Coturnix japonica: one gene and its partner. The protein of the gene in region 2 interacts with the protein of the main gene of each other region in a biochemical or structural test. Links are inferred from orthologs where the notes say so. Each region holds a gene or a part of one and is shown on either strand. Other genes may lie near its edges.

Region 1 (2,836 bases), on a different chromosome or scaffold from region 2:
CAGGGTCTATAAAAGGGCTTATTACACAGTGTAAACGATTTCTTTTTGTTAAGCAAATATTTGCAATATATTTTGGGAGATAGAGCATTCGAAGTGAAAAAGCATGATACCTGCCAAGGATGTGAGAAACACATAAAGGGTACCTTAAAATGGGCTTAAACTGGGAGAACATGGGATGGTTTTAGAATCTTGATCTATGAGGAAACCAGTCTGAGGCCCTTTCAGCTCAAGCTTTAAAGCTTCCGACACCTCACTTAATCTAGGAAGCCTTTCACAAGCTCTCTTTGCTTCAGCAGTTCCACTAGTTCTTTTTGCAGAAGCCAAGCAACTGAGGAACAGAGGCAAACATCCTGATACAGGACTTTCCTACAGGGCAGTTTATTTTACAAAGGCCTGAATCAACTAATAATGCCCAGTTATGGAGAGTACGTATCTAGCTGGGTGGATGACTGCTCTCAGCTGGTGTCATAATTTCTGCATCATTCCTTTGGCTTGAATAAAGGTTGCAAGGAAAGTAATAGTTTAAACTATTTTGCTTAAGAGTAGCAGATCAATGCTATTCAACATCTAACTTGTGAACTTGTCTCTGTGCTGTGGTATTGTCAGGAGGCCCAATTTGTTGGCTCGTAGTTTTATAAACAGTGAGAATACTGGAAATTAGGTCACGTTTTGTATAAACTTTTATTTCAATAGTTTAAAGAATAAGCCATGTAAAACATCTGGAAATCACAGGAACATGAGGCATATATAATAGCAATATCTTAAATATGCATTAGTAATACAAAGTCATCTTTCACTCTGATAAAAGTTACAACTGTGTTTTTCTACAATACATTTAAGTCATGAAGTATGCTTAGATAATACATATATACAACATTTGTCATTCTTTCCTGTAAGTGATGCTGCTAAAATATGAAAAACAAAATTAATCTGAAACTCTTGTGGTTTATGTGCAGTTGTGAAGCAATGTGCTACACCTTGCAGGCTGGATTATACCTACAGAGCTGTCAGCAAGCAATTTACATACATCATGGGTATGTGCAGAATTGTGCATGCAAGTGACAGATCACAGTTTTAAGACTGTGTGCTCACAGATTCCCACAGCTGCTCAACAATACTCAACAACTGATGTAGTTATAAATCAACAGGTCTGGAGTTATTTCTAGGATGCCTTTACCTGTCGTCTAACTAAACTAAGACCTGCTTTTCATCACAACCCCTGCTCATCAGTGTGCTGCTGTGCTTTCAGTGGTGATTTGGTGAAATGTTTCTATCCTGTTACAGAACGTGTGGATTGATAATTGTATTTCTGATCAGCTACAACTGCTTTATTCTCATCTCCAAAGCAAGCATTTCTCTTTCTATTTCATAGGGAAGGTCAGCATTAACTTGCCCTTCAAAGTACTGTTTGATTTCTTCCACCTCCTTTTCCCAGAACTCTTTGGAGATATTAAACAGTTCAGTTAAGTTGATGTCTTCTAAGCCCTTCAAGTTCAAAGCAGTGTCAGCAGGGATGTAACCTATGGCAGTTGTCTTGGCAGAGGCTTTCCCTTGAATTCTGTTGAACATCCACTCCAGCACACGGGAATTCTCTCCATAGCCAGGCCACAGGAATTTCCCTTGGCTGTCTTTCCGGAACCAATTAACATGAAAGATCCTTGGTAGTTTTGCTGCCGGGCGGTGTGCCATGCTAAGCCAGTGTGCTAAGTACTTGCCAAAATTGTAGCCAAAAAAAGGTCTCATGGCAAATGGATCGTGCATAATAATTTTTCCTGTTCAAAACACAAATGGAAAACATTTAAAGCACAAAGTTTCAGTTCCTCCCAGTATTTATTACCCAGCACCCTTAGCCACCTTTCTGCATATGAACCACAGAACTTTGAGAAACAGTACAAACATTAGCCTTGAAGTACAAATTAGTTTAATCTTTGCAATCACTGGAAAGTAAATGTCTTAAATCTCAGGTCAAACAGTTTAAGGTTCTCGAGAGCTGCCCTTCGTTATTGGGTTATTTTTGCTGAGCATTAGCAGAACAGAAAATTAAAGTTTACTTAGCCCAGGCTGTAACAACTCCATATCAACTCTTCTGGCAGCACCATGATTGCACTCTGTTCTGTACGCTTGCCACCTAGGGGATTATTTTGCATAATTTGTCTTTTCAGGAAAATCTGGCTGTTAATTCCAGTATAAATATTTTCTGTTGTAAAAATGCATAGGTTGCAAAATCAGCTGCCAAGATTTAAGTGTGAAAGAGCAGAGGGGGAGGACAGAGCAGGCTCTGCAGAGAAAGTAGCTTGTAACACAGATAGGCAGACTAGATTTTGATTTACCTTTGTGCTCAGCAGCTGCTGTTGCTTCAGATCTCATAGCTGCTCCTATAAATACTCCATGCTGCCAGTTAAAGGCCTCGTATACAAGAGGCACACCTGTAAAGAACAAAGTCACTTCAGTAATTAACGATTCAGAAGCATTTTTATGACAGGTTTTGCTAACTGAGATATTGCTGTATCCCAGTTACTGTGTAATTTATTCTAATTTTTCTTGTTGATTTTTAACTTGGTTAATTTCCTGCCTTCTTAGAGCAATTCATATGAATGTTTTCAAAACTGGCTAATCATTATTGAACACATCAGCTGGGAGATATCTGAATTCCCAACAGATTTCATTGGAAGCAGATTCTGGTCCCATGGTCATGTTTGTGGTATTAGATTCAGGCCTAGCATTACTTCTGATTTTTTCAGCTCTAGGTGGTCTTTAACAGAACAATTCATTTAACTTCTTTATCTGTAGACTGCCTACAACTGGTTTAAATCTTGAATCATTTCCTATCTGAACT
Region 2 (3,830 bases):
CAACCTTGTTGTCCTGTTAATGTGTTTTATACATAACAATATTTAACAAACATTTTTAAGCGGTGTCAGTGACTAGCAGTAACAAAAAGTCTCTTATGCTTCTTAATATGTCAACTGCAAGCAACATCGAAAGCATCCATATAACACTTGAAAAATATTAAATATTGTTCCTTTAAAAGCTCGCTGGTGATATAACAGGGATACCAGCGACAAAGCTGAAAAATATTTGCTGTCATTTAAAATTAATAGAGATACAAAGAGCTTGCCTTTTAGAATGAGTAAAAATAGTTCAGTATTCCCAAGTATTGAATTCCTATAAATCTTTAAGACAGTAATAAAAATGTCATCTCATCACCTTTGGCGGATTCAGAAACATTTTAGGTGCTAAATTTTAAGCTACTCATATCTGAGGAATGCAGATTTTAAAACAAGTTATCTGGACAATGCATAAAATTTTGCTTTCAAACTATTTTCATGACTCTGTTGAGCTCACCCTCTTCCTCTTTTGTTTCTTTGTTGCTGGTTGGAAAGCACACAGACACACAAGCATGCAGAATATTGCGATTTCCATCACATCTGTGGCCAAGGAACGTCTGCAGCACTTGTGGGTTCTGATCCAAGACAACTGCTTGTTCAAGATTCATCAGGTATTGTCTGCAAGCCTCAAAGTCACATCGGAGAATGTGCTGCATTAAGGTTTGTTTCTGTACTCAAAAGAATAGAGTAAGTTAAATGAAAATACAAAAACCACAGGCATATAAGTTTCATAGGTACATCCTGTCTTCCATTTTTTTAAGTAGCCCAAACAAAGGACATTCTCAGCAGGAATGTCTGAGAACACATATAATCTCAATTACAGCACTACTAAAAACGCAAAATGGGCACAGGAGTTAATAGCAAGGGCAGGTTCAAGCAGCAGAAGTTATCGTGACTTGCAAAAGCACACTTCTGGCTTCACAGATATGTTCTTAAGACAAATTACTTCCATTTAATTTAACATGGGAAAAGTGGTATGACTGGAAAAAATAAATAAGGGGTCAATAACTACCAAAATGCATCTTCCACTCTGCAACATCAATTTGTGCTTTCATGTTTCTATGATAATTTTCTGCTGAAATTAGTTTATGTGGTATAAACACAAACTAGTATCCAAACACAAAGTTGCCTGAAGCATAATTTCATAGAAGCAAGAGAAAAATAGCATATAATTCTGTATTACAGAAACTATTTTACCTCAACAGCCATAATAATAATTGCAGCTTTCTTTTTGATGGTTGAGTTAGCAGGAAGATTTGTTAAGGAATGAACACCCATTCCGAGACTACTAATAGGTGGAAGATCAAGCCAGTCAGGGTCTCGTATCCCACCCATACAGTCTTTTGCCATTGGGTAGATTGTACCATTTCCATCTCTGAGAATAATCGGAGATTCCTATGTTGGGGAAAAATATTTTAGAATTAAACTCCACAATTTACAAATATTACGCTTCACAAGAGGGTCCGTTTCATGCTTTATTGCCAACAGAGTCAACAGTTGACCCAGAACACTCATTTATGCCATTGTCTCCTATACTTACAAACAGGGCAGCAAAAGATAAATTCCCTTTTTTAAATGCCCAAGATTTGCTTAAAACAGTAAACATTATTTAGAGTACTTATTTAATGACAAGTGTTCACAGAGAAACATTACTAATGACAATACCTACATTACACTTTGATTACTTAAATACTCCCAAAAAAGCTGAATATGCTGAAATACAACAAAAATTCAGTCCCCTTACCAAGAGTTTCTTTCAACTACCCTAAACAAAACTGATCACTGAAAGACTTCACTATTGTTTTCTAAGATCAACTCATGTAATCAGCCACATAACCAGATACAATAGGATATTTAACAGATAGTTAAGAGTTGTACAAAATCTTAACGTATCATTTTTGTTAGATTTTTTGTTAACACTTTAATCTGAATATTACTGAACTTCCTCCTTAACATTTCTATCCATCTCACTTCCAAAACTTAGTTGAATAGAGAGTTTATGCTAACACAGCAGCCACTGTCAAGTTGCTTTTCTCCCTTCTTACTTTTTATTCAAATAATATAATTAAAAAGTGCTTAAAGCTTGTTGGACTGCTATACCACATATCCCTTCAAAATATTAGTGGTAGTACCAAGTTTTTCATAATCTACTCATTCAAAAGCTACTCTTCACCAGTATTTATAAAGGCCTTACAGAACAGACTATACCATTTCACTTAAAGATAACAGGAGTGAGATACAGTGAGGTTAAATGACTGAAATGCAGAAAACAAACCTGTCCAGCTGTAAAAATAGCAACACTTCTCTCATTCTGACCCAGGAATGCAATGCTGCTAGTAGGGAAATTGTTTTCCTGTTCAGCCTTTCCAGTAGCGAGGTCAAATATGCAGTATCGAACCCAATTCCCAGTTTTCAGGACTGCATGAACTCCTTCAGAGATGCATGAGAAAAAAATGTTAATGCCTTGACGGTATTCAGTAAGAACTCTTAACTACAGCATTTTTACTAAGGTCAATGAAAACAACTATTTAACTGAGTCTGACAGCAACAGTTTCCCACTAAGGAGAAGGGCAGTGAAGGACATAATGGAGTATATTTAAGTGTTAAGTCCTACTTACCTTTTGAATCTACATTTACTGCTAGAATCTCTGTTTTTTCAGGAATACACAGCTTCTTGGGTGTCCTTTGAAAACAGTCCGGAACTTTCGGAGTTCCCCCAGTCTTTACGACCTAAAAGCATCCACAAAACGATAAGATGCAGTAAAATACACACTGTTCATATTTCATAACACTTCATTTTTTCAGTATGTCTCAAATACGCACCTGTAGTTCATCTATCCTGAGCAGCCTGCAATCCTGGAGAAGAGAGGAAGGATCTGGATCTGAATTAGAACTGCTCTGACAATTTGCATTACTGGAGGTGCCTGGAAATTTGACAGCAACATAAGCACCATCCACTTTTAGCACCTACAAGCAGAAAACATAACAGTTTTATAATAAACTTTTTAATTTTTAATATAATAAAAGCTTTGAATAGACACTGTTTAGCCTAACCTTCTTCAAAGTAAACCAGACCTTTGTTAGGAAAACAAAGAACTCGACCATTGGTGATCCTACAGCTCTTGGTCATTAGCCTGGATGTTCTGCTAAAGTTTCTGAACACTTTAGAACTATATTTCTTAATTATTACACAAGCAGGTTGAAGGCCCCTTCCCTTCAGCATTCCACCTCCAACAGAAACCAAAAGAACTGACTGAAGAAGTTGCCTACAAAGCAATAAAAACCTAACTGTAATAAGATTACCATCTTAGAGGTCCCCTGGAATAAAAAGTAATTTTCATACTTTCAAGATATCAAAAACAATAATAATCCAGGCATTTCCTTGCTTTTTCCCAATTTCTCTAGTTAAGTGTAACTTACCAAGTACACTAGAGAGAAGGATTTATTGATAATCATGAAGGTGTTAGAAGACTTCTACTATAAAGAGTATTACTGATAGTCACACCACTTGCTAGCTGCAAGAATGCTACCTTTGAACCTTTGAAAACTCAGATCTAGTCACAAGAATCCTGAACATTAATTCTGGTCTACGACATACAGACATTTGTACTCAGACTAACAAGACTGCTAACAAGCAATCCAAATCCTCAAAACGTGTGGATAACTTCTGTGGGCCTTCCCGTTTTTCTTGGTTTGGAAAAGCTTAGGAGTGAACTGCAGAGATGATTTAATTCCTGTACCAATTCGACAATTAGCTTATGTAAAGTAATTAAAAATCACTGGCAGATTTTAGA

What was found.
Region 1: the proteins of UBR5 (region 2) and PCK1 form a complex in vitro, tested with the Homo sapiens proteins (2 studies listed by BioGRID, with this or other methods). The link is inferred for Coturnix japonica from reciprocal best matches to the Homo sapiens genes UBR5 and PCK1.

Annotation. Positions count from the first base shown.
Region 1 is NC_029535.1:10,436,597-10,439,432, forward strand, and holds the end of PCK1 (phosphoenolpyruvate carboxykinase, cytosolic [GTP]), read right to left. Parts: intron 2,427-2,836; coding exon 2,331-2,426; intron 1,773-2,330; coding exon 1,318-1,772; 3' UTR 663-1,317; downstream 1-662. UniProt on the Homo sapiens protein: Cytosolic phosphoenolpyruvate carboxykinase that catalyzes the reversible decarboxylation and phosphorylation of oxaloacetate (OAA) and acts as the rate-limiting enzyme in gluconeogenesis.
Region 2 is NC_029517.1:117,665,289-117,669,118, reverse strand, and holds part of UBR5 (E3 ubiquitin-protein ligase UBR5), read right to left. Parts: intron 3,004-3,830; coding exon 2,860-3,003; intron 2,767-2,859; coding exon 2,655-2,766; intron 2,467-2,654; coding exon 2,312-2,466; intron 1,432-2,311; coding exon 1,234-1,431; intron 705-1,233; coding exon 494-704; intron 1-493. UniProt on the Homo sapiens protein: E3 ubiquitin-protein ligase involved in different protein quality control pathways in the cytoplasm and nucleus. Mainly acts as a ubiquitin chain elongator that extends pre-ubiquitinated substrates.